3 linked regions of the Neurospora crassa OR74A genome follow. The protein of the gene in region 3 interacts with the protein of the main gene of each other region in a biochemical or structural test. Links are inferred from orthologs where the notes say so. Each region holds a gene or a part of one and is shown on either strand. Other genes may lie near its edges.

What was found.
Region 1: the proteins of eat-2 (region 3) and ubi form a complex in vitro, tested with the Saccharomyces cerevisiae proteins (2 studies listed by BioGRID). The link is inferred for Neurospora crassa OR74A from reciprocal best matches to the Saccharomyces cerevisiae genes SLA2 and UBI4.
Region 2: the proteins of eat-2 (region 3) and NCU04115 form a complex in vitro, tested with the Saccharomyces cerevisiae proteins (2 studies listed by BioGRID). The link is inferred for Neurospora crassa OR74A from reciprocal best matches to the Saccharomyces cerevisiae genes SLA2 and CLC1.

The regions. Positions count from the first base shown.
Region 1 is NC_026506.1:3,140,137-3,151,261, reverse strand, and holds ubi (ubiquitin), read right to left. Parts: upstream 6,219-11,125; 5' UTR 5,944-6,218; intron 5,876-5,943; 5' UTR 5,219-5,875; coding exon 5,197-5,218; intron 5,127-5,196; coding exon 4,231-5,126; 3' UTR 3,679-4,230; downstream 1-3,678. Other genes in the region: NCU11215 (RING-10 protein), read right to left, coding at 765-2,144, 2,209-3,384; NCU05996 (C6 finger domain-containing protein), read right to left, coding at 8,468-8,568, 8,635-11,074. UniProt on the Saccharomyces cerevisiae protein: Ubiquitin exists either covalently attached to another protein, or free (unanchored).
Region 2 is NC_026505.1:4,892,609-4,902,724, reverse strand, and holds NCU04115 (clathrin light chain), read left to right. Parts: upstream 1-4,268; 5' UTR 4,269-4,519; coding exon 4,520-4,562; intron 4,563-4,635; coding exon 4,636-4,871; intron 4,872-4,958; coding exon 4,959-5,414; 3' UTR 5,415-5,618; downstream 5,619-10,116. Other genes in the region: NCU04117 (ATP-dependent permease MDL2), read right to left, coding at 1-898; NCU04116 (DUF618 domain-containing protein), read right to left, coding at 2,060-2,847, 2,902-3,102, 3,225-3,316, 3,403-3,500; NCU04114 (hypothetical protein), read right to left, coding at 5,835-5,896, 5,961-6,021, 6,139-6,226, 6,399-6,403; NCU04113 (hypothetical protein), read left to right, coding at 7,107-9,854. UniProt on the Saccharomyces cerevisiae protein: Clathrin is the major protein of the polyhedral coat of coated pits and vesicles. In yeast, it is involved in the retention of proteins in an intracellular membrane compartment, presumably the trans-Golgi. The yeast light chain is important for cell growth.
Region 3 is NC_026501.1:1,862,593-1,871,557, forward strand, and holds the end of eat-2 (cytoskeleton assembly control protein Sla2), read right to left. Parts: coding exon 6,700-8,965; intron 6,598-6,699; coding exon 6,505-6,597; 3' UTR 5,960-6,504; downstream 1-5,959. Other genes in the region: NCU01957 (AR2), read right to left, coding at 3,496-3,919, 3,999-4,502, 4,578-4,618. UniProt on the Saccharomyces cerevisiae protein: Required for cellular morphogenesis and polarization of the cortical cytoskeleton. It might act in concert with proteins such as CDC42 and CDC43 to limit the region of cortical patch formation to the cortex of the bud.

The sequences.
Region 1 (11,125 bases), on a different chromosome or scaffold from region 3:
TAGGGGGGTCATATATACTTACACGTATATATAGCTCGGGTATTTTCAAGAACAGCCGTGCTAGTGCCAGGCTAAGCAGGCGTGTTACTGGATTTCAGAAGCCCGGAAGCTTTCCAACAAGTGATTGTAGGTTTTGTCATGGTAAACCCAAAAAAAAAAAAAAAATAAAAAAAATAAAAAAAAAAAAAAAACTGCTCGGTGATTTACCTTGGTCGACGAGTCTCAGACAGCAGAAATTCCATCTTTAGGGAACGCATAGATTAGGAAGTCTCAGTGATGGATGGCTGGCAGTACTAGTATATTTGGCCACACGTTAGCAGTATATTACAAAAGCCCAACAAGACTGAGAAATGTTGCCAGCACCGATACATAATAAACAAGCAGAAACGATTTCCTATCATACTATCAAATACAACGTGTACAACGTGGAGGACCAGCGCCTCCCAACCCACTCTATCTGGTGAAGACACAGAGATCAGAGTGTCGAAGTGCTGCTACTACCAATCGTATGTACCGTGTTGCAAACTATGCCGCTAGAGGCAACGGGCAGCCTTCATACTCCTTCCCAAGCCATTTCCTAATTCTGTCGCTAATCGGTACATGCAATCATGTCGCAAACCACTTTCGCTAAAGGTCAAATAACCTTTACCCCTTTACCCCTTTATCCTTTCTACCTGAATCCGTGCTTCCCAACACCCCCTTCCGAGCTACAGGGAGCAATACAGAAGCATACATCACCAAAGTCACTTCTCAGGAACGAAAACCTACTTCTTCCCCTTCCCCTTCTTCTTCCCACCCCCCTGTCCTCCATTCGCACTCGACCCCTCCCCAGCAGGAATCAGCACCGTCCCCCCTTCCTCCAACTCCTCAGCCGTCACTTGTCCCTCCTGCTCCATACTCTTGAGTTTATCCTGAGCACTAATAAACATGGATAGATCATGATTGGATTCCTTCAGCTCCTCATTTTGCTGCCTCAACATCTTCAACTCCTCCTGCGTCTTTTCGGCCTCCTTCTCCATATGCTTGATCCGCTTCATCAAACCCTCCCCTACTCTTTTCTCCTCTTGGAGTTGTTTCGACAAGTTCCTCGCCAGCTCCGTGCTTTTGTCGGCTCGCTTCCGCTCGCGCGTGAGGTCCCGCTCTAGAGAGGCGACTTCTTCTTTGAGTCGGAAATGCTCCTCTTTGAAATCGGTCAACTCTTGGATGGCACGGGTAGAGGCGGCCGAGGCGGCGTCTGCGGCTGCACATGCTTTGGAGGCTTTGTCCGCTGCCTTGGCGACCATTTCCTCAAAGTAGATGCGTTGTGATTCCAGCTGTGAGGTGAGGAGATGCGTGTATTCGAGCCCGATGCTGTCCAGCTTGGCGCGGGGGACCACTTCTTGGTCTTCGGGTACCGGGGGATGGGGTAGAGGCGCACCCGTAACCGCCGCCATGGTCTCTTCTTGGGAGCTCCATGCCGGGGCAGGGGCACGCGCGGTGTTGTTGCGCTCTGAAGATGTGTTGCTGTTGTGGATATGATGACTAGGGAACTCGACCACTTTGCCCTGGCCCTTTTCGCGGATCATGCGGTGCACCCACATGTCGCCCGCATAGTCCCAGACGTGCTGTGTTTCCATTTCCAGGCTGAAGCTGTGGGCAGTTTCCTTCCAGTGCTGCTTGGCGTGACCGCCCTTGTACCGGCCGCACCCAACGTTGCCGCAGATCAGGCAGATCCAGAGGTCCGAAGGTTCGTCGCAGACGCTGCAGAGGTTAGATACAGGTCCCGAGCCGAAGGGTCGCGAGTACGGGTTTTCCTGGTTGCTTTCCTCTGCAGTAGGCTTGGGATTGGTTGCGCGGCAGATAGGGCAGCCGAAGCCTTTCCAGGTTTGGAGACAAGTGCAGTGAAAGACGTGTTGGCAGAGGATGGTCATGAGACCGGCTGTATCGTCCATACGCTCAAGACAGACAGTGCAGGTTGGTAGCTCGATCAGGTTGGGGGTAGGGGGAGGGAAGGGTCGCAGGTTGAGGGTGTTGCTGGGTGAGGGAAGGGTGTCGACTGGGTTGCCATTTCCGCCCGCGTTGCTCGTGATCGTGCTGTAACCTTTCTGGCCGCCAGGTGATTCCACGGTGATGGATTGGATGTAGGCGACATGGCAAAACTCGGTCTATGGTTTCGAGAAAGTTGCCATTAGCAACGCCAGGAAATCATGTAGTCCAGGAGTCACTCACCTCGATACTGTCAAATGGCCTCCCATTAAACTGAACCCTAAAATCCCTCGCCCTTTGCGGATCCCTAAACTTCATCAAAACCATGTACCGATTCAGCTTGCTCGTCATGATCATCCTGTAGTGGCTCACGTCATCGCGCCACTTTTCTCCTATGAAGCCCAGGAAGTCACTCGGACTCATGTACATGGGAACGGCAGTGATGCAAAGAATAGTGCCGTCGTCACCGCTGCTAGCAGTTCCGTTGCTACCGCTGGCGCTGCCTGCACCCACCCCGGCGCGAAGAGCACTGCTCTCATCGGCCTCGCGGTACAGATGGACGATGCCCCACCCAACCTCCGTGTTTTTGGTTTCGAGGGGTATGTATCGTCCCTTGGTGGCCTGGCCCATGCCACCGAGGTTCGGGCCTAGAGAAGCCGCTGGCGTACCGTGGGACGCACGTTCTTGGTTGCCATTTTTCTCTTGTTGAGATTGCTGTCCTTGATCCTTCAGTGACTCAGCCATTGCTGACTTGTTGTTCTTGGCTGCTACCGGTTTTCCAGTTCCAGCAGTGGCGCTGTGGGTGTCTTTCCCTTTGCCTTTCTTCTGAGTATTGTCCTCCGCCGCGGTTTGTGCGTGTCGCTGCAGATGCCCGTCCCGTGGCAGATCAAGGCTCTCGATGCTGATCCTTCCAAAGCGCCAGTCCTTAGCTGCCGTCCGTGGCCCTAGCCCAGACGTGAATCTTGGCGGAGGAGAAGTCGCGCGCGATTGCTTGCCTGAAAGCCTGACGATGTTCCTGTTGTCTTCGGGGTTCTGGCAATCTGGTCTGGATGCCCCGCAATCGATAACTCCGCCGGTTTCCGTCCCTTCCTCCGCCTCGGGGTCTGAGCTGTCGTTGAGAAGTCCCAAATGCGATTCTGGCAAGGCTCGAGGAATTTTCTCCGAATGGCCCTTCTTCTCTTGCTCTTCGATTTGCCCTTCTCCTTGGATGATATCTCGATTCTGTTTCCTCCTGGACGATGGCCTTGAAGACAAAGATTTGAGCTGCCAGGTACGAGGGTGGGCGGGGAGCTCGTCAAATATGGACGAGTCCTTGGTAGGTAACCAGATATCGGGGTGGAATGCTGCGGCGGGCGCGCTATGCGTCGGATCTGGCGAGGGGTAGAGCTCAAACTTCAAATGATAGCGGTAGACAGGCATGGCATATTCATGGTATGGTCGCAAAGAAATGATTCCTTGTTGTGATGGTCGAGAAACAACAATGCTTTGATGAAAAATCTGATGAAAGTGTAATATTGAGAGTATTGCGTTGACTGTAAGAGTGGAAGAGCAAGAGAAGGACAGAGAAGGATCAAGAAGATGAAGAGTCGATTAAGACACCTTGGACGCGGGCCTTACGTCAATCAAGTCGCCGATGCCTATCTCTGCAGGTTCATGTGTGCCCAAACTCCATGCAGTGATGGTTCTTGCCCTGGTGATTAGAGAGGATGAGAGGTCCTTCCGGATGTCCTCTTCACATTCAACCTTCCACAACTACGAACTTGACGTTGGACGTTGGACGTTGGATCGTCCTTCACAGGGGGGGAGGGAGGGCTCCACGGCCGGACTAGCGCGAACTGAACTCGGCGGTCGGTACGTATCTTTCACGTATGATGCATCTTGTCCACCAAAAAAGGGCGCCACTTTCGGCCACGCAACGGTCACCTCGCACGGTGTGTACCAACCCACTGCACCACCATCTTGACTTACACGTCCGACTCCATCCCCAATTGACCAGATGACAGGTTGACGGGAATAACAAAAGCTCACGAATTGAGACACAAGCAAATCACCAAGAGACATCATGTTTGAGACCGTAAATATAGTCTTTATTATGGCATCGCTGTATGTATGAAGCGTGTGCCATTAGATTCGGCTAGATATGCCCTGTTTCATGGTTGTCATCATTTCCCAACCCATGGATGCAATAAGTAACCCAATAAACGCTGAACGCCCAAATGAACCCTTGCTCGTCATCAAGAATCAGAAACAAAGACGACAATCCGCTTACTGGCCGCCACGGAGGCGCAGCACCAAGTGAAGAGTGCTCTCCTTCTGAATGTTGTAATCAGAGAGGGTCCGGCCATCCTCCAACTGCTTACCAGCAAAGATCAGACGCTGCTGGTCAGGCGGGATACCCTCCTTGTCCTGGATCTTTTGCTTCACGTTATCAATCGTATCCGAAGACTCGACTTCCAGCGTAATCGTCTTGCCCGTCAAGGTCTTGACGAAAATCTGCATACCACCACGAAGACGGAGCACCAAGTGCAGGGTGCTCTCCTTCTGAATGTTGTAGTCGGAGAGGGTGCGACCATCCTCGAGCTGCTTTCCAGCGAAAATGAGACGCTGCTGATCAGGTGGGATACCCTCCTTGTCCTGGATCTTTTGCTTTACGTTGTCGATGGTGTCGGAAGACTCAACCTCGAGAGTAATCGTCTTGCCGGTAAGCGTCTTAACGAAAATCTGCATACCACCGCGTAGACGAAGAACGAGATGAAGGGTAGACTCCTTCTGAATGTTGTAGTCGCTCAAAGTGCGGCCGTCTTCAAGCTGCTTGCCGGCGAAAATGAGACGCTGCTGATCGGGAGGAATGCCCTCCTTGTCTTGGATCTTTTGCTTGACGTTGTCGATAGTGTCGGACGATTCCACCTCAAGGGTGATGGTCTTGCCGGTAAGAGTCTTGACGAAGATTTGCATACCACCGCGCAGGCGGAGGACAAGGTGGAGGGTAGACTCCTTCTGGATGTTGTAGTCGGAAAGGGTGCGGCCATCCTCCAACTGCTTGCCGGCAAAAATCAAGCGCTGCTGGTCGGGGGGAATGCCCTCCTTGTCCTGAATCTTTTGCTTGACATTGTCAATGGTATCCGACGACTCGACCTCGAGGGTGATGGTCTTGCCGGTCACTGCGAAGAGATAGTTAGCATCGGTCGATCGATGGTAAAGTGATGATGCGGTGAGCGTGCGATAACTTACAAGTCTTGACGAAAATCTGCATGATGGGGGTTGTGCAGTGGACGAATGGACTGTTGATGGATGAAGCGAAATGACTAGAATCGAGTGGCGGGAATGATATGTGCGTGGATGAACACTCCTGCGATGATGGCGATGGAGAGAGATGGTGAAAGCGGAAGAAATGGAATCGGGGATGCAGATGGGCGGGGAGGATTAAATAAGTAGGTTCAGGTGCTGGCTGCGGCGGAAGTGGCAGGAATCAGGATGGCGAACTTGGAGGGGCCAGGCTTCCACTGCCTGGAAAGGGAAGCGAAGCGGGGGGGCTGAGTGAAGGGGAAGAGGTGACGGGACTGGAGTGGAAGCGGAAAGGTGCCAGGTCCCAAGTCGATCGTCACTGGTCCGTTTGCAACGCCTGCCACGGTGTGAGTGGTGTGTCACTCACCTTCACTGACAGGCCACGCACAAGCCACTTGGCGGTTGGGAGTGACAGAGAAGTGGAGGGAAGGCGCGAGAAGAAGCCAGTCAGACGACAGTTTCCCCCTTGACTGTTGGCTGTTGCCCGTTGGCAGGAGTGGTTGGACATCCCCCCCAACAGTGACCGCGGCTGATTGATCGCACTGTCAACGCCTTCTGCAGTGGCGGGCACTCACCCAGCCGTTTGCCCGTCAATGCGTCAGTCACCTCAGCCGGGCTGTTTGCCCTGCTTCAGTTAGGTTCTCTCTGGATGAATAAGCCAAAGAATGATCTGCATGTGGCTGGACGACGGACCTTCGAGTTTCAGTTGTTTACAAATCCGAGAGTGCCATCTCGACTTCTCGTTACTTTGCCAGCATCTTGACAAGCTTCTCTCCATGTTATTATAATTGTTCCCTCTATCAGGTTGTTGATGGCCTCTTGCTCGATGCTTCACACAGCAGCAGTCCAGCTGGCATCATGGAATACCGACGTGCACCTTGCTGGTTCCCCGCATTTGATAAGCGAACCCCCCAACGAAGTGAGCGGTCAATGACGTGGTCCGATCGAGGGCACCGAGAGGCAAACAGGGAAGAGTGAACGGTTGGATCGCAATTTTCCAGCAATGGAGGAAATGACCAGAAGACATGAAGATGAGTATATAAAATCAAAGAGACCTGTGACTTTGTCTTTAACCAACACCACAAAGAGTGTCACCAAAGGGGTCGAGGTGTTGGTCGTCGAACGAAAGAACAACCGGACGGGAGGTGCATCCCGGCCAGGCATCGTTTCAGCTCCAGACAGTAAAGGGGCGAGTCAGCTGGCACTGTAAACCACAGAATGCTCAGCTGGTGTCACGGACTCACGGTTGGTTCTTCCACCGACCTTTGCAAAGGCTGCTGAGGTAAGCGCTCCGTCTGGTGCGACGATGAGCTTCGTTAGTTCTCCGTGTTCATGGCGGGACACCGACAACTGAACCGGACGGGAACGGGGAGCTATTACCAGGTATTCTCTTTCGCTTTTCTATCGGCTTTCCGACCGACCGTGGCTGTTGACGCCGGTAAGGATTCAAGACCGGTGACAGATGGGAGACCTCCTGACTGCAGTGCCTGGCCATAAGGGTTCCCACCAGCCCCCGACCGATGATGTCGTGACTCCGTTCCTCCCGTTATCGCCCAGCATTATCGTGGCCTCTTTCTTGGCTCCACCGCCCCGCACTTTAGGAGGGTCGCTCCGCTATTGACGGTCTCTAGCCTCCGTTCACGCATGATCCATAGTATCGCGAGTTACCATCATCGATCAGAATGCTGGGTCCTTTACGCACGAGTGTAATATGTACAGTAGAGGGAGGTAAGCTGTGCAGCACAACATCACAAACTCCTGGAGCCAAGTGACGAGTTCCGCCCTGCCCGCTACTAGGCCTGCCAACCACCTCGGGTGAGACCGGGGCCGGCATCACCTCCTGCACGGGATCCCGGGGACTCCCGCGCAGTCACGCCTACAACTCCCGTCTTCGCAAATGCGGGAATCGTCCTTACGGTCCGTTCAATACACCCATTCGGCTCGGGTTGTGACATCCCATGATCAAATGACAACCCTGAACGTCATCAGATTGGTGTACATGATACTTTTTATTGTCAATGCGTGTAGTGAACCAAGTTCAATGCAGGTGCCTGGTTGCCGTTCGCAATCCTTCTCACTCATTGATCTTGAGTACTTATGTACTCGTCTGGCCTAGGCTCTATCGTAAGAGTTGGAATGCATTTTTCCACTCATCCAGAACCAACGAGCCAACGGCTTTCTTTGCGTGGTAATGACTTGCGTCTTTGAAATGAAACAAGTACACACAACCCAAGGCAACTCTACAAGACTCGAGAACTCGTTTGCTCTGTGGCCCTTCCCATAGTCGGTTCCATGACAACCTGTGAAGAACCAGGTAATGTGTACTTGTGGATGAAAGTTGGCCTTAAACAAACAACCACTCTCTTCGTTTTTCTCTGATGAGGGAACATTGCCTGCTGTAGTACACTCAACAACATCACACCAAAACAAGCACTCGAACAGCCTAATACTCATTAACAATAACCAATAAATATTTCTCAAAAAGAGGATTTCTCGCCTAGGTCGCGGTTTGCCCGCGCGCGCTTATGCAAGAAAGTCCACCTATCAATCCATATCTATATGTAGGTAAACCAAAAGAAAAAGACCAAATCAGATAGACAAAAAAAAACGCCAAGATACCCAATGCAAACCCATTTTCCTCCTCTTCCTCCCCTTTGAGTTGTGCTTTTCTTCGATCCTTTCAAACAACCCTTTCCACTCGCTTACCCTCCTTCATCCCATGCCCTTCCTTTTCCCGTGAGCGACTTCTTCTCTCCCAACTGAACTATCAAAAGTGCCAGACATGCAGATCGTGCTGGTTTTAACTTTTTTGCGATGTATGCGTAGTAGTGTATGGTGTGTTTTGTGTAGATTCGTTGGGGTTTCGTCAAATGTGTATTCATCAAATATTGATCCGTCATGATGGGACGTCAGTCATTTCGTATCGTGTTGTTCGCGGTGGTGACCAGCCACCAAGTGAGTGTGCGCGGCCAAAAAAAATGCCACAAAAGATAACAGAAAAAGGGAGAAGATGGTTGACTATAGAAAATAGTAGCCATAATGAAATAAAGATGAGAACGCCGTCGCTCAATGGCCCCATGAGATAAGGATAAAGAGGAAAACAGGAAACCGGAACAGACCAGCTCTTGCGAGCTTTGCTGTAAAGTGCTGTAACCGTAACGTGGATAACGGGTATCGCAACCAAAAGAGGCAGAGTGCAGCAAGCAAGAAAACAACCTTAGTTGGCCCGAATGACCAGCTTCGACAGGAACTTGTTTGATAGTGAGTCAAAGTCATAGCGGTCGAACTTGGTTTCTTGACGGGTCCTAAGGTAGGATTCTGTTATCGCGGGGTTAGTATGTAGGGTCACACCATGCTGACATTAAATGAGGGGTCATCACTCACCATGCTTGAGGACATGCTGTCTAACTTCGGTCATGGCCTCGCAGACGGCAACGTTGTTATTAAGCAGCTGACCATGCCTGCGAGTATCCCACTCCGTGAAGGCGGGCAGCTTCTGAGAGATGGCGTGGAAGAGGCCAACAATGACACCAACAGGAGTAGACTCCATATCGTCACAGAACTTGTTGACAGCGATAGGGTCAGGCACACGGTAATGGCAGTCGAACTGGATCTCCTCCCAGACAGCCAAGAGGATGGCAGCCAGCATGAAGATAGTAGGCCAGTTCTTGAGACGCTCTCCGCTGTAGACCGAAGAGTAGAGAGCAGAGAGCTCCTCGAGGACCTCCTTCTGGAGCTCACGCCACATATCGGCCATGGCGCACTTGATCTGGAAATTGATCATGACAGGGGCGACAACCTTGCCAAAGTACTTGGAATCCTCGTCATCGATCTGGCCCTCCATGGGCTGCTCCGTCGGCGGCTGCTCAACCATGGTAATGTGAAGAGTGAGGTTGTAAGCCACAACAAGCTTGAGCGCCTTGCGAATGACAGGCAGGCGCTCCTTGACGTAGAACCTATGAGCGGTCTTGAAGAGCTCGGTGATGAAGGGAGTACCCTCGAAATGGTCGTCAATGAACTGCTCGAAGCCCTCATCGACATGCTTGTCGAGGTACTCGGAGAGAGCCTCCACAGAGACACCCTCATGACCAACGTCGAGGCGCTCAGTGCGGATCTCAAAATCGATAGGCTCCTGGTCAGTCAAGGTCGACTCGACCCAGTCGACTTGGAAGCAGCTCTCGTCGGCAACAAACACCTCGCGAACCATGACAGGGAGGCAGAAGCCGTAGCCGTGGGTGATCCACATGAGGGTCTCCTTCTGGGCGAAACCCTTGACGTTGAAGACGGACATGCCGCGGCCGAGGTGACGCTCGTAGTCGGCCTTCCAATCCTTCATAAAGTAACCAATATCCTTGATATCGATGCGAGTGCAAGGCACCTGCCACAAACGAGCGTGAGAAGGCTGGCACCCGGCGCAAGGCTCACCCTTGTCGCAGGTCTTCTTGAGGAACTTGCAACGGAGGCAGGCCCGGAGCTTCCTGATCTCGCTGGCCTGCTTACGCTGCTCAGGAAGGAGGGGTCCACGACGCCTGCCAACCTTCTTTTCACCAGTGCCGTCCTTCTTGCCAGTCGAGTTAGTCCTACGAACGATGGTCTTGGAAGGCTTGGCAGTAGGGCTCTTTCTCGGGCCAGTGATTCTCCTCGGCGGGGGCGAAACCGAGCCAGAGCCATTGGCAGTAACGGCCCTCGAAGAGCCGGCCTTGATAGGGACGGGAGCAACGGCGGAAGAGGGGCTGATCTCAGTGGGTTGAGGAGAGTGGTGGTGGTGGTCACCGGAGCAGCAACCGTGGCGGTTGTTGGTCATATCCATGAAGCCATCGGACTCGGTGGAGAAGGGCGAGTAGGGGAAGGTAACTTCCTCGTAGCTTCCGAACTCGGTAAAGTCAGACTGTTGTGAGAGTTCAGATGTGGTCCTCAAGTGCAAAGTCTGGCCGGGGTTGAAGATGGCGGTATTTTGCGCAGGCTGGGGCTGAGTGAAGTTGTTGTAATCCTGAAACAAAGGCATGTCCACGGTAGCCCAGCCATTGTCGCTTCCAGAGTGCAAAGACAGAACTTCCAGAAAGCTGCCCGTGGGCGAGTGGCTTCCCATGGGCATCCGGGCAAGTTCGTTATGCTGGTTGAAGTTCATGGCCATCTCAAAATCCTGCCAGTTCGCCATTTGCGTGCCCGTACCCGTGCTCCACTGCAGTTGCTGGCTGGTCTCCTCGACGGGAGAGATGGCGTGGTTGAAAGGAGCCTCCAAATGAAGCGTGTTTTCGATGGCGGCCTGGGTGGTGGCGGGGAGATAATCGAAAGCGCTGGGCTGGTGGAAGTTGGGCATGAAGTGGTTGGTGAGAGCAAGCAGAGGCTCGTTCGAGATAAACTGAGGCATATCAGAGACATGTTGCTGCTGCTGTTGTTGCTGCTGCTGCTGGGTCTGCATGGGGAAAGCGGTCCAGTCGGGGAACAAGTGGGTGCCGGTCTGCAGAGGCGAGTGCTGGAGAGGCGAGTGCTGTTGTTGCTGAAGAGGGCTGGACATGACGCTATTCCCAGGCGACTGGCAATTCTGGTCCTCGGGCGACGAAGGCGACATGCTGCTGCTTGGCGAGTGGATGGAGTTGGGTGCGCTCATTCCTCCGGACAGATCAGCCGGGAGCCAAGTGGCACCCGGGCTGAGGCTTTGACGGGCGCTTTGGGACATGGTGGTCAGCGCGGTCGAGGTGATGTTCTGGGGTGATTGGGTCGAGGTGATGATGGGATAGTAGCGCTGGTGGTCTTGCTGGTCGAAGGCCAGTTGTTCTAGCAAGACGGCGTCTCCCCCAGCGGCAGTGAAGTCGTAAGTCATGATGGCGGGAGCGGGAGCGGGAACCAAGGGGTCAATGGGGTTTTGTTCAGG
Region 2 (10,116 bases), on a different chromosome or scaffold from region 3:
CCACGACAACCGTGTCGGAGTTCAGTCGCGAGATCAGATCACCGACCCTGTTGGCATCGAAGAACTCGGCATCCTGGACGTAGGTGCGGCGGTAGAGATTCGTGCGCAACCGAGCCACGACGCGCTCGCCGACGATACGGAGAATGATGATTCTGCCAAAGTTGGCCGTCGCACCAAGAGTGAGAAGACCAGCGAGGCCGCCGAAGAACTGATAGAGGGTAAGACCGAAGAGCCGAACCTCGCCGGCGGGACCCTGGGTGGAAAGATCCAGAATTCTGCCGATCGAGAAGGGGATGGACATGGTGACCGCGGACGAGATGAGAAGCAGGACGAATGCGACACTCATCGCCTTGACCTCGGGGCGCGCAATCTTGATCAGACGCCAGACCTCGGCGAAGCCGGGCTTGGTGCCTGATTGGGATTTGCCATCCTTGGAAAGACGAGCGCTCATGTTGATATGGGCGGCCTTATGCGCCCTCTCGCTTTTCGTAAAACCGTGTACCTTGAGGTGTTCTTCAGATGTATATTCCTTGACCTTTTCAACGTCCTTTGCCGCCTCTTCTGCTGTCTCTGCCGCAGCTTCCTTGGCCGGCTGCTCCCGTAGGCGAGTTTGTGAGGTCGATAGCTGGCGGAGAAGGCCGAAGGGGGAAGTCCAACGTTGGGATTGTACGCATGGTCGTGATCCGGGATGGGAGGATGAGAAAGGAACCGAAACGATGGTAAAAGATGTCGTCGAGGGCCGCTGAACTGACGAGAACGGACGGCAGAATTTTGCGGACAGAATCGAGGAAGTCATAGTGGGCGATCGTTGGAACGGCAGCAAAGCCGCGAGCCCGGCGCCGCTACCGCCGCATTGGGGGAGCAGCACGGCGCGGCGCACCGCTACCCCCGTAACCATGGCTTGAAGTATATGTGTCTTGGGTAGGTCGAGTGTGTATGTGACTAGGTACTAGGCTCGCTGTATCGTAGAGTTTCGGTGTCGAGTTTCTATCATATCATGTCGGTGTTGTGCAGTGGGCTATGTTACTAATTGCCTGATGCGAGACCGCTAGCGCGCATGCGCGCCTGTTTCTGCGCTTGTCAATGCCCGGTTCCCTTGAGTCCCTGCACTGCGTGCGAATGGGTGAGTTTGGTGATGTGGAATGTGGTTGAGGAACTGTTGAAGGAAACGTGGAGAAAGAAGTGGTGGAAAGGTTCCGAGGTCGAGGGACGGGACGGACGGCGGGGGGGATGATGGAATGAAGTCGGGATGACACCCAGGCAGTTCGGTCGGCTCGGCCGTCGGTGCAAAAACCCTTGCTTGTCCCGGCGGACGGGATCTCAACTTCAGTGGTCAATCGCCGGTTTGGCGCTGCAGCAACTGCGATTGATTCGCCGCTCAAGCTCTGGGGACCACGACGGCGGGAGGGCGGCTTCGATTCCCTTGTTCAATTGTCCCTCTCCCCCCCCCCCCCCCCCCCAAAACAGGGCAAAGCGCGCATCTTTCACCTGCAGTCGGACATTTCGTCATTCAGCAGCGAAGAGCAAGCCACCACCCGACAACGATGCCGGCGGCATCCACTGTCAATTCCGGAATGCGTTCAACGATGTCGGTACCTTCTACAAGTGGCCCGTGCTCAAGCTTGGCCCATTCCACTCATGCCACTTATTTGTACCTCAGGGGTATTGAAGCTGTGCGGACGTCATCAACTTCAAAGGTCATCATGGTAATGAAAAAAGACGAAAAAGACGATCGCTTGTGTAAATGCCGATGATTTTATTCACGATATTTCTACAGCGAACCGAATGGCGCTTTGCCCGTCAAGAATGAAGCATGCCAATAATCCTTAGTCCTGTCCTTCTGTATCTCCACATACTCGCTCCAGAGAAGGTTTCAGGCCCGCGCCAAAATGCCACATGAATGATGATTCTCGCCATACAGCCATTATCGTTCCCCTAGACCAGCAATAACGGCAACAACTCCAGAGTGTTGGGCCATATGCACTCAAACTGATACAAAGGTAGAAAAACTTCAGTTCGGTCAAGTTTTGCTTCCAAAAATCTTCTCCCCGTCCTTGTTCTAAATCGTGCTTTCCTTCTGGATCATCTCGGCGACATCGGCATCTATGCCTACGTCAGGAATGTCGGCAGTCTCGTCGATCTTGCGCTTTTTGGCCTCTCGAGTTGGAACAGACTCATATTGAGAAGCGAGGGCGGACAGCATCTCAATGCCAGGAGCAGATCCAGTTGGGTGAGTATGACCGTTCTGCGGCTGTTGTTGCTCAGACGGGCGATGATCGTAGAAATCGTCGTGATCTTGGACGTGGGGCGGCGTGAGTGCTTCAACCTGAGGACGGGCGATGCCGTGGCCATCCGAGCTAGATGGAGCGCGCTCCTCACCGGTAGCCGGCTCTTGGGTATTGTGAGGCAAACCTCCAATGATGCTGAGCTCAATTGCTTGCTTCTTCTCCTCAACTGCCGTCTTGCGGGTGCCTAGATCCCTGAGCTGTGATTGCTCGGCCTCCAAGGCCTGTCGGTTGGAGCTCAACATCTTCTCCAATGCGCTGATCAGCTCTTCGCGGGTCTTGATGCATTCCGTCACGGCTCCCTCAGCATTGGCAAGGTTTTTAAGAAGCCCGTTGAGTCGCGCGGCATACACTGGCGCCTGAGGAGGAGCGTGGGCCGGATCCATCAGCTTGCTGTAGTCCGAATTGGCGGTAGTAAGGCTTGTCTTCAACGCCTGGGCACTCTTGGAAACTGCCTGCTGTGAGGTAACCAAGGGTGCCAACTCTGGAGGCACCGCTGCAGCTGGCGACGACAACGATGTGGAACCGAACATTGTTCCACCGGAGCGGGCTGAGTCAAGCTCTGGATTGAACAAGTTAGTAGCTTGTCTGCGGAAGGGCTGAGGCCACGGCTTACCTCTTAGTCGAGAGTCTATGGCGTCCTGGACTTCTATGGGGAATATCTTGCGTTCTCTCCAAACATCAACAACCCTTCGGAGCTTGTTCTGGATGTCTGACGAGGCGCCCTTATAAGACAACGCGGTTGCATCTGCGATGAATGGAGAGAAAGCCTGAAGGAAGTCATCCTTGTTGCGAGCTTTGGATTGCTGCGTCACCTCTATGAGAAAGACGAATAAAGTCAGCATTCAGTCCCAAACGAGAAGAAAGAAACCCAGAACGAACGCCGGGGGATGCACATCACATGCAGCCTATGTGGGAGAGCCTGGGAAATGCACGCACCGTTTGCAAGATAAATCATGTTGAGCCTCTTGGGACTGGGGAGGTCCTTCAGCTTGGTCAACCAGAGATGGACAGTCTGGGCAGCATGTCGCCTAAGATACATCAACAGTCAGTTCGGCGGTCGAGACATCAAACAGCAGGTGAATGCGGTCGTCGGTCGTGGGCAGCGGGAGCTTACCGATGGAACATGATCCACTGAGCGGTGGTTGCAATGCTCTCGTGAGTCTCAGTGAGTGCAGAGAGCTTAGAGAGCACAGCATCCTCGTTATACGCCATGGTGAAGCTTTAGGCGAAATTTGTTGGAAAGTGTTGGAAAAAGTGGTTGTTGATGGTTGGTTGGTTGGTGGGTGTGATGGACGGGGCAGATGTTCAAGATATGCGGTGTCGGGTTTATTCAGAACTCATCTACAGCAGTACGAAAAGGTATCCGTGATGTTTGCGTGTAAGTAGCAGGGACTCCAGACGCGGCCGAGTGGTGATCTAGAATATGGATCGAAAGCCCTTGGGAACAACCTCAAATGGCAGAAGCGTGGACTATCAACACAACACACTAGATGACGGCAAGAGAGAAGTGCTCAGCACGAACTAAGCACCTAGTCAAGCTCTGTGGTCCAACTACACCGGAGTCGTTTCCCTGCTATTACCAATGCTGTCACCAGGAAGAGTTTGCAGTGCAAAGCGCAAATGAGCGTGATCTGGATGCTCTGTGACAAACAACTGAAACCACAGCGAGGTGAGTGCTGAATGTTGTTGATGAAAGGAAGAAGAAGAAGAAGAAAAAGAAGAAGAAGGAAGAAAGAAGTTGTCGACGGGAGGTGGTGGGACGGAACGAAGCAGACGTTGGAGCTTCCTCCATCCGTCCAATGCGAGGGCAGGCAGGGGAAGAGGGACAACGGAACGCCTGCCGCACGCAGACAATGGAGTTGCCTGCCGGTACCTAAAGGTAGCTGTTACTACCTCTACGGCTTCCCCTGGCCAAATGGAGAGGCCCAAGAGGGTCGCTGTTACTGTGGACAAGTGCCAAAGTGCCCCAGTGGCCGCTGTGAGTGGCGTCCCGTCGCAACCTGGAACCTGGCGCGATCAGGAGCGCTGGGGTGGGCTGCAACTCGGACTCCCGCAGTGCAACACCAACACCAAAAGACACTTCCATCAAACAACGAAACACCTTGCCTGTTTCGCAGCTTTCTTCGATCCTCCGTCCTACCCAATATTTCCGTTTTTCAGTCCACTTCTCCAGCCTCCAGTCTTGTCCGTTCGCGCCGATCTACCAAAAGTCAAATCACACCACCCACATCATGGCTGACAGATTCCCCTCGCTGGAGGAGTTCGACTCCGGCGGTAAGCTTGGCGTTGTTTGGAGATCCCCTTACCTTGCTGTTACTGCCTGCTAACATTCAAACCCCCACAAAAGCCCAGACCGAGATCAAGGAGGGTTCTGGAAGCCCCTCGGCCTCCAACTTCCTCGAGCGCGAAAAGGCGCTTCTCGGCGACGATGCCAACCAATTTGCGACAGTTGAGGATGCTGGTTTCGACGATGACAACGACCTCCTAGGGGGTGGCCTTGACTCCTCCGCTGGCGCCGGCGCTGGCCTTGAGACTAGCGCTGCTTTCGAGAGCCAGTTCCCCGACCTTTCCGCAGGCAACGAGGTACGACTAAATAATGATGATACCAAAGATGTCGACACAGCACGTAATCATGGTCTTGGGTTCTAACATGGGGCATCTTCACTTTAGTCTGTTGCGCCAGGCGGTACCATCACTGGCGCCGGTCCTTCCGTCACCTACAACTCTGGATATGCGCCATACGCCCAGGAGGAGCAAGAGCCCGAGGTGATCAGAGAGTGGCGCGAGAAGCGTGATGCGAAGCTTGCCAAGCGGGCGGAGCAGTTCGCCGCCCAGAGAGCCGAGACCATCGCGGAGGCGCAGAAGAACATTGACGAATTCTACGAGAACTACAACAACAAGAAGGAGAAGGCCATTGGGCAGACCCGCAAGGAGGCCGAGGAGTTCCTTGCCAGCCGCGAGGACACCACATCGGGAGGCACGAGCTGGGAGCGCATTGCCAAGCTGGTTGACGTTAGCGGCAAGGGAGCTAAGGGCGGTGCTGCTGGTTCCGGCAAGGAGCGTTTCCGTGAGCTCCTGATAAGCCTAAAGAAGGACGAAAAGGCCCCCGGTGCCTCGGGGATTTAAAGCGCTTACTTGATCTGCCCCCATGACAAAGGGAACGCCTGGTTACCACTATTCACAGGTTTCACACCTCCATGGCCACTACTGCCCCATGGCCAAAAAGCCATAATTTTGTAATGATAGAAAAGACTTGACAGCTGCAGCCATCAGTGTTTGGAGCTTGGTAATCGAAGCGCCGAGACCCAATGGATCACGATTTCCACGGTTACAGTAGCTCTCCCAAAGGTGGTCGGTGGAATCCATGATGCAAATAGGGAATATCGGCGTGGCGGCCTACTTCTTGGAGGTATCACCCAAAGCGGCCTGCCCTCTGCCGCCATCTATGCTGCTCTTTGCGACTATACACATATTCAAAGGGATTCTCGTGCTTCTATCATGACCAGTAGCACCGCCTTCGTTGACTATCGTGGTAGGACGGCTAATTTAATCCTCCGAGAACCAGGTGTTGTAGCCGAGAACCTTGCGGGACATGGCGTACATGGAAGCTGATGTACAGTTAGCGGAAGGAGCAAGGACGAAGCGATAAGCCATCAATGAAGGTATACGCACCGCCGAAGGTACCCCACATGGCAATGTTGAAGGTGGTCATGATGATGCCGCTGCGAGGGCCCTGTTCGCGATTTTGTCATCAGCCCTTATCCCGACAAAACCTCCCTCTCCGTCTCTCCCTCTCCTCCTTCCCATCTGTTGATTCCCCAACCATCCTCAAGTGTCGACTTCAACTCACAATCTTCCAGAGGCGGGTGTGGTTCTTGAAGGCCTGCTGGTAGTAGCGCTGCTTCTCGGGGACGTGGTTGGGGGCGTTGACGAGGCCGCTGCAGTCGGGGAAGAAAGAGAGCTGTTAGCCTGGGATTCCAAAATCGTACGACGAACAATAGTGCGTCATGACGACAGGTAATTGGACCTGGGGCGGCGTCCGCAATGCGCGCAGTCGCTGGAGGGTCGTCGGATCGTCGAGGAGCTCGCAGCCGGAGGGGAGAAGCTTACGGCATCTTGAAATTGTTGTCGGGGGTCGTTGGGTGGAAGATTCCGGGGGGGTGATGCGAGGGGTTGGTGTGATGATGTCGAATGCGTGGAAAGGACGGAGAGTTAGCTTTGAACCTCTCACTGCTTCAGGTTTCTCGGCTCGGGGCTTCCTGTGGTGCACGGACTTGTGGATGGTGGAGACTGCAGACCCGACGGCGGAAGCTCTGCCTGCCTGCCTGTTTGCCAGGTGTAAGGTTTGGTCAGTGCTCACAGCTTTCAGCTGCTGCTGATGCCTCGACATTGACCTTCAGACTGAGCAGCTCAGCAGACTCACTGCCTGCCGGGAAGGATGGGGGATTGAAACACATGATCGTAGGATGACTAAGAAGCAAGTTAGGGAGCGATCCCCGGCCACACCTGCAAGGTCCCCTCCACTTTTGTGTCCCCTCCACTCCAGAACGTCAAAGCTTCCAGCCCGAGGAGTTTCCACATCCCCTCACAACCCCATCCGTGGGATGGACCGCCCGCGATACCCCAGAACTCGAGTCAGTCAACGAAGCCCCAGGTACCTCGCGATCTATACGAACGATACGAACAACGACGCCAAATAACCCAGCGGCAACCTCGAAGCGAAAAAGAAAATGAACATGATCGCATCAGACAGCCGCTAAGAAGAGTCCCCGCCGCTCATATGCCCAATTCTCTGTGTCGAGCGGCCACAATTCCATTATGCGAGTCGTGCCTCCTGTGCTGCGACATGTAGCTCGCTCGCGCCGCTCCACCATATCGCACTTATACACGGACGCTGTGCACTTACAGGCGTCTGGACTACCATCATGCGTCAACTTTTCAACGAGCGCGTGCTGGTCGCGGTCGTTGACGGCATACGCACTTTCGGAGACTTTGGCGGCGGAAGAGGACCACGGTGTTCGGAATACAAAGAAGGCACGGGGCTCGGCAGTGCAGGCGCTACCAGGCCAAGCGTCTACCACACACGACCTGTCAGCATGGTCGGGCTTTCGGTCATCCCGCATCGCTAACCAGCCCTTCAACCGTGACGATTGGGATGTCTTGACGGCCACCGAGGAAGACTTGCGCTTCCAGTGTGATGTCCACGCAGATTCGCCCGAAAATGGAAAGCCGCGACTGGTTGACTGGCCACAGTATGCGAACGACATCACCCTTTGGTCGTGCATACTTGAGCACCGCCAGCGCACCGAAGGAGATGCCGGAGTTGCAGCAGTTCTCGAGGGTCTGCAAAAACGGCGAACCTTGACGGAAGTGGAAGGCTCAACTGCCGAGAAATTCTGGCAAGCAATACTAGATGTGGCCGTTCACGATCAAGCAACACTGCACAGTGCTTGGTCCTATGCTGAGTGGCTCCACAGTGACCGCGGAGTCCTTTGGCCAAACCTCTACGCAGGTGTTGTATCTTTCTTCATAGCACAACAGGATACACAGTCAACGCTGCTTTGGCACTTACGCCTAAGCTCGTCGTTTTGCTCCGACTCAGAACCCCTTACCCACGTGCTGAAGCAGTTCATCACTAATTCAGACGCAAAGGTTCGAGAAATCCTACAAGCACTGTACATGACGAGTGTCCGCCAAAACCTCTACGACGAGATGATTCCTTACCTCTTCGCCCAAGGAGAGGAAGGTATTGCCCGTGATTGGCGTCGGCTGTTTATTTCTCACAACGACTTGCCAACAACCGAAGCTTCGCGGCCATTCTTACAGTTCTTGGTCGGCTTTCATCCGAAAATCCAGTTGACTGACAAAGAACAATCCTTCCTTATACCGCCGAGTAAAGCTGCGCTTCCAAGTAGTGCAGACCTGAACAGCCTGTTAAGGGACGACAAGTCGCAAGTTGGTATCAACTTCAACTACCAGATCTCCAAGGGTCTGGGTAATATCTTCGGCATCAAAGAACAAACAGATAATGACAGCTTGGGCGCTAGATGGTTTGCGACCCTCAACTTCTCCATCGAAACCATCATTGGTACAATCTCGACTCTCGGCTTTTCTGAAATCGGGCCACTTTCGTTACAGTCTATAGCCCGGCGCGAACCCTCCCCTGGCCGACTCCTTCATCACATTGCACAGCTGCAAGAGTCTGGAATCGGAATTGGTAACTCGAGCTATTCGAAAACACTACAGCACTTTGCTACAGTTGGCGACGAGGACCTGTTTGACGGTCTTGTCAATACAACCATGCATCCGGAAGAATTTGACAACTTCGCCAAGCACCCTTCATTCCTGAGTTTTGCTGCTGCGGAGGGAGACTTTATGCTCTGTCGGCTCCTTGTGGAAGCTAGCCATCTCAACACAAGGCAGATTCTGAAAGAGTCAACGAATGAAGCATTGTTGGTCTGTTTGAAAGCCAACAGCGCTTCACATATGGTTGGCTTCTTGGATATTATGGCCGATGGAAATATCGAAATGATGCACTCTACGGCCGATGCCATATCAAAACATGTATGCGAAGAAATAGTACCACGGCCTGCGAAAGATGGCGTGGACATTTCCTCCTATGCCACCATGTATAGACGGCTTCTACGATTCGGATATCCTCTCGCGTCCAAGGCTTCTCAGATCATTCTTTTCAGACTCGGACGTGAAGGACTGCATGACGAGCGCGACGATCTTGCATTGGACATTGTTAGTTTCTATGAGGGTACTCTGGGACCCGAGGGGGGCTTTTTCCGAGTTCACAAACTCGATCTACCCGACGCAGTCGCTCAGCAATTGCCCAAGTCAGAAAGGTTTATGAGCCTTCCATCCGGAATGAGCACAACGAGTCCCTACCATCCACTGCATTTGGTTTTTGGTAGGGAGCTCCTGGGGTCAATCATCCGCTGGGGTTTTCGCAGTTCCCGCGGCATGCCTCGGGATGCAACAGAATTTTCGAAGCCAGAACACTTCTTCTTCGCCCGAGGCATCAAGCTCGTAGCAATGCTCAAGGAGAAGGGAGTGCGGGCCGATGACTCTTGGGCGCGCTCAGTAATTGTCCCGGCTCTCACCGTACTTTTGGTTTCAGGCGAGATCAAGCGTTTTCACCGGCCCCCGAAACACGGGCATCACTATGTTACCCCGAAACTGAGGGAGACGCTTTCGCTCAAAGAAGCCATCAGGTTGTGCAATTTTGCCTGGGGTTCCTACGTCCTGGAACGTTTGCCCGAGTTGGTTCACCACTCAATGAAGGAGTGGAAGCTCAAGCTGAAACAGTCCCAGCCAGAACTGTTCATACCTTACAAACGCGAGTATGCGGTGGGGAGCAAGCTGTGGGTGAAGTATGGCCCCGGCGGTAGGCCACCGTTCGCCACAAAACTTAAACATCAACATCGACAGCAACAAGAGGAAGCAGACGCCAATCTAGTCCCAGATGCGCAAAGCTCAAGCGTTTGGAAAAGCTCAAAAGCCAAGACGGAAGACGATTTTTTCCAGGATTTTGAGGGCTTCGATCGCTTCCTCAAGTAACAGTAAGAAGCAGTCAAGCTGCTGCGGGATACACAGTACCGACCTAACTACCCATCATCTACTTCATAATTTGTCCTCCGACTTTCGATATGTGACCGCATTTTGCATGCCTTGCGGTCATATATTTGTACAAATACGCAGAGGGGATCTATAGACGATAGAAAGCACGGATTTCACAAGATCATGGTTAACAGGACATGACGAGAGCAGGGAAGGGAGAGCACGAGCTTCCGCGAGGAGGAACAACAGAACAGAACAATTT
Region 3 (8,965 bases):
CAGCTTTCCCCGTTGATTTTCGGTTTATCATCACATAAAGGTTTTGGTTGCTTGTCGACATGTGCGTTCGAGACATTAGGGCAGAGTCCCGATGCGTTATTGGTGGCACCGCTTATGCATGGACCCTTAGTTTAACCTTCTGTTGGTTTGGCGTCCCGCACTAATAAGGCAACAACTGACTGCCAGTCCCTGATCCCCAACAAGGAAACCCCAAAGCACGTTATTCTCCTAGCCGACGGAGGGCATTAAACTCGGTAACCGTAGCCTTGGACCTCCGAACCTACTTACCTATACTTGTAGAAGTGAACTTTGCTCGTACAGGAAGGAAGGACGACGTGGTCTCAAGGATGAAAGCATACCTACAGGTACTTAAACCATCATATCGCTCCCTTCAATTCTTCTCCCATTCCAACCACATCTTTCTCAGTTTTCTCCCAATTAATCGGAAATCGAGTGCTCAAATCATTCCAATCGCATTAGTTTACCAAAAGTCAATTCAATCATTCTTGTTTAATCACTATTACCGTACACTCACTCCTACGCTACCCTCCCGTCGAAAAGACAATTGAGCACATTGGCAGACCAACCCTTTTTTCCGACCCGCAGGTATGTCTCTCGCTCACCATTCTACTCTCCGCTTTCTCGCCTCTCCAACTTCTTTCTAACATAATAGCAACAGTCTCGAAAAATCCATCTCGAACATTCCGGTACAATAGAGCAGCAAGCTCTTCCACCCCAAACCACGTCCAGCCCTTTCTCACAGCAATGGGTAACGATCATAAGTACCTATCTTCTGTTCGGACTCGGACGCTACTGGTTCAGGGCAGAGCGCATCTGGAAGAACTGTTTCGGCGATATCAGACTTCTTTCTCAAGCGTCGTCGATCGAAATCCGAACTCGAATCATGATTTCGGCTCTGATTGGACCGCTGTTCATATTACTATGGCCTGTCGACGTGACAGCGACCGTCATCTGGGGCTACCTCAGAGATGCGTTCCAAAGCTACTCAGATCGGGATACTGAAAGCAAGACTACTCCTGTTAGGAGCAGTACCCCGCCGCCAGCTTATACAACTGATGAGGAATGAGCTCCATCGAAGAAATATCTGACGGAGGACTACCCAGGAGTATGAAGCGAAGGTGTTGATGATCGGCAGTGATCTCATGATAGTTTTTTTCTTTATTTTTCAGCGAATACTTCCTTGCTGTTAGCGTTTGTGATTTGTTTTAAAGAGGAGGGAAAAGATAACAAGCTAAGAAACGCATGGCGGGGCTCCTCGGGTCTTGGAGGAGTGGAGATAACTTCCGCAATTAGGTGGCATCATTATATCATACAGAGAACCCTATCGCATTGCGATACTTGTCAGAGGCAGGGGTATAGCTGCTAATGCAATCACAAGCAACTTGGTCTGCTGCTTCAAAAATAAACACAGCAATGTTGTCTTCGCTCCAATTTTGCTGCTTCGTTTGACGTTCTGCCCATAAATGAATATGGGAATATAGTTCTGGTGGGGGTCAGCTTCCCGCACAGTCTAATTGGACAATCCTTGAATTTCGTTCACTAATCCCGGCTTGTCGAAATCCCTTGCGTCCCGCTCTCCAAGTGTACAGGGATATACAGTGTATATAGACATCTTTGCGCGGTACTCTTGTACCGTAGCGACGAGAGTCTGGGACGGGATCGTGCTGATTCTGCCAGATACGCACACAAAGAAACTTGACGCATTGGAGAGTACCAAGTAGGTACATTAAGTCTTGGGTTTATTTAGAAGATACCAGCGCAACATCCATTCTACCTGAAGCTGGCAGGTTGCTTATGTTCCCAAGTCCCAGATTTGAAGTTGTCACCGTACCCTGCGGAGTGCTGACAGACTGCCTGGTCGGCGGTGCCGACCTTCCATTCTCCATCAAGCCCACGGTAACATATAGCAAGCAATAAGACAACGCAAGATTCTGCAACATTCACTCTTCGCTTTGTCACAAGAAGGGGCCCGTTCATCATATAGGCAGTATTCCACCTTCGTGCCTCGCATACCGAATTCTTGTGTTGTGGCATGTATGGCCAAGGGTTTGCATATGCTAGGTGCGTGGCGCCGACTGGCGGAAGAGCTGGGGTCTCGACCATTCTTCCCACTTTGTCGGCGCCGTTCTTTCGGGCGTTCGGTTGATCGGATGTTTGTGCGGTTCCGTCACAGACTCCCGAAACCCTAGCTGCCCGCATTGCCGTTACTGTGTTACAAGAAAAAAAAGCGAAAGGAGGGTGCAAAGGTTTGTGCAATCAATGAGGGTTCTTGACAGCTCGTGCAGTACAGTACCAATGTACCGCTTCTCGAATCTCCCTTCGGTACTACTCTCTTCAAATCTCACCGCGGCACTCTGCCCAGGCCTCGTCAAGTGGCTTGCTGTTTGAACATGTATTTGCAAAGCGAACCTGGCTTGTCATCTTTGAACATATAACTGGTGGCGGACCGGGGGATGAGCGGTTTGTGTTTCCGGGAATCCCATGTAATTTCTGACAGCAGGTCTGACAGAACAAGTTCAATGTCATTTGAATCTGCATCTCACCCAGTATAAAGTTCACGAAGATAGCAATGGGTCAACAATTGGTTGCCACCAGTCAATCAAACCCATGACTCTCAGCTGACTGCAGGAAAGCTTTCGGTCACAATCGCTTCACAGCAAGCTTACAAATTTCGAAAAGTGATATCTCACAAAGTGATCCCTGGATCATTTATCGTGCCTTACAGATTCCCCCTTGATTCTCATTTCCCATTCTCCCTTGCGCTTTGATTGTCTGTTTGCTACTTATCGCAAACGAACGCTGACGTTGAGCAGTCCAATTGATTACGAACTAGTTATCTAGCGGGAATTTGTCGTCTCGTATATCCTCTTTAGGTCTTGCTTGTTACTGTTCCCACACTCAAACGCCTGTGCAGTCTTGGCGGACGTGTGCGTGTACACACACACACAACTTTTTGGTAAAATGGACTATTGAAACGAAAGACGAAGATGAAGAAACTCAATTATCCTATGGAAAAAAAACTATTCTCTTAATAATCTTAAGTACGCTGACTCTGAATCTCAAGTCGGATTTCTTTTATCTCTTTGTTTGGTAGAGATATAAGCAAATGAAATCTCATCGATGGTCCGTTTTGCCAAAAAGTTGTGTGTGTGTGTACACGCACACGTCCGCCAAGACTGCACAGGCGTTTGAGTGTGGGAATGTATAAAAACCTTCGGGTTCCTCCTCTTGTATAATTGAGTAAGGGCTACCGAAATAGGAACGGCGAGTCTGTGGGCTATTAGGCCAGGTTTGGTACCGCGAGTTTACCCTCATAGCCAGAAACGCGATAACTCTTCAGGGGAAAAAAGAGACAACAAGCACGCTTTAGCCTCAAAGAGCTATCATCTTCCGCTGTTATGTGCCACCCGTCACAAACATCACTACAACCTCCTCGCCAAACACCACGCTCAACGTCACGATCGGCAAAGTGATTCATGGACGAGCACACTTCGCCCCAACGCCATTGTAAGGTGGGGGAGGGTCAGGGTGTTGTACATTTGGGTTCGTCGGAGTTGTGTTTAGGGTTTCCGCAATTGGTAAGGTCCTCGGAAGTCCTTGTTCGTTATTGATCGCTTTCGATACGTAGCAAATGATACAGCCAAACAAATCGAGAGGCCATATTCCAACAAACATCAGAGGTATCAGGCAATATGCTGCGATCCGGGTTCTTTGTTGGTTTTCTGTGTAGTGGGTAAACGTATCGATAGCTCCATTCCAATGAACCCAAATATTTATCGATCGATACCAGAACCACATGTACCCAATGACAACCCATCCAATAATGGCTGGAATGACTGTCTGGGTTGGGAAGTTGTGGTTGTCAACCTCAAGGGCTACTGACTCGGTGATCTTCATCCTAGAATATTTATCAGTATATGAGAAAGGAATTAGAGTGACCGGAAAGTAGAGAGTTGAATAGTAAGCGAGAAACATACCTGGAATACTTGATAGAAATTTTGCCACGCTTGCGGGCAACACCAAGAGAACGGAAACCACGGGTAGCGAACTCAGCAACCTTGTTCTTGTAGGCCTGGTCAACCTCCTCAGAGATGGGGTGGTCCTCCTCGACAGTCTTCAAAACGAGGGGCACCCTTGACGCAAGTGATGCGCTCACCCTGGGGAGACTCGACGACGGCGACGACCTTCTTGGAGACGGGGTCGAAGGGGTGGAACTGGAGAACCTTGTACTTGGAGAGAATGGACTTGGCGCGGGGGTAGTACTTGAGGGACTTGAGGAAAGCCTTGTGACGACGGCGACGACCTTCTTGGAGACGGGGTCGAAGGGGTGGAACTGGAGAACCTTGTACTTGGAGAGAACGGACTTGGCGCGGGGGTAGTACTTGAGGGACTTGAGGAAAGCCTTGTCGATGGTATCAATACCCTTCTTCTTGCGGGAAGCGGCTAAGCAGGCAGTAAGCATGAGATCCTCGGGGTCGACACTATGATATAATCATCAATGTTTGGTTATATGTTGGGAGAAGAATTTGAGAGGGGGGATACAGTAGTTTAAGTACCTGTTGGGAGGGCCCGGGTCGGGTTTCCTATCTGATTGCATTCATCCTTTGTGACCAGTCATCCTTTCTGTACGAGTACCGGTAAAGCTCACTTCTGCAAGTACATAGGTAGGTTGGGAGGTCCGAGGGCACACGGTTTCCAAGTTTAATGCCTACCGTTTACCAGGCGGGATGAATACTAAGGTTGTAATATCATCCTGCCTATACGAGCGAAGCTCACTTCTGCAGGTACATAGGTAGGTTGGGAGGTCCGAGGTTACGGTTGCCAAGTTTGATGCCTACCGTTTACCAGGCGGGATGAATACTAAGGTTGTAATATCATCCTGCCTACACGAGCGAAGCTCACTTCTGCAGGTACATGGGTAGGTTGGGAGGTCCGAGGTTACAATTGCCAAGTTTAATGCCTACCGTTTACTAGGCGGGATAAATAATAAGGTGGCAGTGTCGTCCTGCCTGCACGAGCGAAGCTCACTTCTGCAGTTGCGTAAAGGTAAGCAGGCGCTGGTGCTCGGCAACATCGGTACATACCTAGAGCGTAGAACAGCGCGACATACCAAATACAAACTATCTAAGCTGAGGCTTGATTCGCTTTCATTCGCATATTGACCAATGTAGGTATTGAAGTCTACGTAAGAATCCCAAACCCAAGGACGCTGTAGGCTATACTATATCTCGACCAAGACCCGTAAACGACCTGAAGAGGCTCCCCCCCCAAAAAGTATACCCTTGAATATTTTGCTGCAGGTCCCAACCTATAAACGCCATGGAAGAATGCAATTGCTTGCCCAACGCAGCCCCACGCTGCCCTGCTCTCCCATACATCTCTTCTTATTGTACAGCTCATGGACATCACAACCATCTGCCCGCAGCAAACACCAGCGGATCCAATACTTGGCACTGGTACATCCAATTACCCGTCATCCAAGCTATTGGTTGGTACGACAACGACGACTCCGCAGGAGCACTTTAATAGCATAACAACGTGAACGCCAACCGACCGGAGAGGGAAGCAGGAGAGTGTGATGGTTCGACTTTAGCTTGGCCTGCCAGAATGGGAAGAACTAGGAAATGCAAGTCAAGAGGGAGACAGAGACCAGACTTTCAAGCTGACGTGGGGAACGAAAAGAAAAAGAGAAAACAGCATAATGGACCAGGCGATAGGAAGGAAACGGAACTTGAACTCCCTCCACCAGAGATTTTCTCGTTCTGAATCTTGCTGCACGAACGAAAGCAGCCACCGATGACGAGACAACGAACGGGCTGCGACAAAAAAGCGAAGAGAGGGAGTGAAATGGGCCGTATAAGCAGACGTAGGGAAATTGGACAGCCGAGGGCTGAAGGACTGACGTGACAGGGGAAGGGGAAGAGGAGGCGGAAAAGGGGTGATATTCAGCAGCACAAAGCACGAAATTTGGTCGCCTACTCACTCTTGACGTATCTGGTAAACTTTCTGGCAGACCGACCGATCGAGCGAGCAGCGAGCAGCGAACGCGAAAATCGAAACCACAAAAAAAGGATGTACATCGCCATAAAAGAAACACGACGGATGCCAGCAGTATGACAGCGGGAGTGGCGGTTTGCCTGTGTTACCAAACACCCGCGCGAAGAGCGAACGGAACATATCCGAGGCCGAAGTTACGACGGCCAATTGACGACTTCAGTGGATGAAAAAGAACAAGGTGGATGAAACTGAGTTTAACACTAACACCTGATGACTCCCAAAGGAATTCGAGCTAGGTACAGAGGGGGTAGTTGAAATATAAAACATCTGATGAAGATTTTGGAAGACGCTGCGGGACGAAAACAGAATGAGGGAGGGGATCTGGTCGGATGCATGTGCCCACGCTGCGCATTGAAGCGTAAAGCCAGCGAGATGAATGAAGCCACCGAGTATACTACCTCAACAACCCCATGTGTTGCGGGACAATCAGTCCTCATCCTGTTGGTACGAAATCTTGCGCATCTCGCCAAGTCTGTGGCGAGCAGCATTCAATGCGTTTTCGAGTTGAAGGATTTCGACCTGTGATGGGGAGAGAATGAATTGGTCAGCAATGAACCATAATAGGCAAGACCAAGGGTACCGGAAATGAAAGAGGAAGGAAATCTCGAAGGAATCACGTACCTGTTGCTCCATCTCGCGCACCTTGAACTCGTGCGACCCAAGCTTGCTGTAGTCCACTTGCTCATCCTCGGCACTGCGGTCCTTGATCATGCTCTGGACTTGTCTGACGAGCGCACGGCAGGCGGCACCGACAGCCTTGCTGGCCTCCTCCAGGCTCTCCTGGTTCTTGCTCATGAAGCCGGCCTTCACACGGCTGGCAGCCACGAGCTGGGCGGTGGAGGCCGCAACATTATTAGATGCAACGATGAGCTGCTCAGGGCTGTTGCGGTTGGAAAGAACACCGTCAGCAGTCTCGATGAGAGTGCTGGTAGAGTTGGCAACAGCCTTGGCGGCGGAAATAAGACCCTCGGTCCATCTGTTGTTCTTCTTGTAAAAGGCGGTGCGCGAAGACGAGCCACGACCAGCTTGCACAATCTCCTGCTGTGTAGCGGTGGCAGCCTTGATGAGCTGCGCGATAGCGGTGGTAATGGCCATGGCGGCATCGAGGATTGAGTCGTGGACCTTGAGTTCGTAGGTAGTATATCCATCGCGAGGTTTGTTCTTGAGCTTCTGCAAACGGGCAACGGCAGCAGCAATGGCATCGGCTGCCCTGCTGAGTTCTTGATCGACGATGTCGCCAAGGTCACCCTTGTTAGCGAGCTGGCCAAAGCCAGGAGCGAAGGTCTCGACAAGCTTGTTCAGCTTTTGCAGGTTGATCTGGACATCGTTATTGCTGTTGATGACAACGTCGGTCTTCTGAAGTGGATCCATGCCCTCAAGGCGGAAGCTCAACAGACCACGGAAGAACTTGACTGTCGAATGGGCAGATGAACGAGCACCGTTGATCAAAGAGTCTCCCTTCTTCTCGTCAGTAGCGAGGCGAACGAGACCCTTGGTGTTACTGCACACATCAGCGATGGCGCCGGCGAAAACGTTGGCGTTCTTGATCAGCTCCGCCGGACTGCTGCTGGGACCATCGGCGATGAAGACGTTGAAAGCGGTAGCGAACTCCGTGGCACTCGCAGACGCCTTCTCAATCTGCGAGAGGACATAGGAAGGCGAGGCGTTCTGGTTTCCGGCTTGCATGTCAGAATCGAGCTCATACATGGCATCATCAACACGCTGAACGCTAGCTTGAAGCACAGAGTCGATAATCTCGTTGACCTTCTCCAGCTGGGAGAGGATCAAAGCGTCCAGCTGGCCGTCAAGGGCTGAATCGGAGACACCCTGGTTGTTCCTGAGCTCATTGAGCTCGATCAGTGTCTGGTCCATGCCAGCTTTGTATACCTCGAGCTCCTCCTCCTTCTCGCGAAGTAGCGCTTCAAGATCCGAGCTTCCATCCCGTAGCTTGGCTTGGGCCTCTTCCAGTGCTCGTGACTTGATACGTAAGGCTTCCTCTAGATCGGCCATCTCGCGGTTGTACTTGGAAAGCATTGTAGAAAGCTCGTTGCCCTTGCTGCGCTCCAGATTATCGGCGCGGTCCAAGGCCATCCGCAACTCCCTCTTGAGCTTCTCAACCTCGTCCTTATTCGAGCCTTGCAGCCTGTCCTTTTCATGAAGAGCACGATCGCGCTCACGAATCATGTCTGCCAGCTCCAAGTTCTTGGTTTTGATCTCACGCTCAAGCTTCTCCCGCTTCTCAATCGCTTCCTGAGCGGAAGCCGCTTTCAGCTGTACCGTCTTGAACTTTTGGAGGAGATCGAGATGCTCGTGGCGAAGCTGGGAATAGAGCTTCGCAAGCGCTTCATACTTTGTCCTCCAAGTGTTGAGTTGTTCTTGGAGAGCACGGATTTGGTCGTCTCGGCTGTTTATTTGCTGCCCGTAGTTACCCTGGATTTGTTGCAACTCGCTTTCTAGGGCCTTGACCCTTTGGTCGTACTGCTGGAGCATTAGTTGATCCCGCTCGTACTGGGCCCGGGCATTCAGATTCTCCTGTTCAAGCTCAGCAAGCCGCCCTTGAGTCTGCCATTGTGTCTGCTGGGCCATCAAGGCCTCTTGCTCCCTTTGCTGTTGCTCCATCAACCGCCGTTGCTGTTCTTCGAAATCGCGTTGCGCTTGTAGTTGTGCTTGCTGCTGCGCTAGCAACGCCTGCTGCTGCTGTGCTTCCAAAACCCGCTGCTGCTCCTCGTATTCCCGGTTCTGCCTGTCAAGCTCATTCTTCCAGAACTCGGCCATGTCATCGGGCTCTTCGGATTTCGGTGCTGGGGGCGGAGGTGTCGGACGCTTTTCGATTTCGTGCTTTGGCCGAGCAGGCAAGGCAGGTGCATTCTCATCCTCGGCCAGGAGG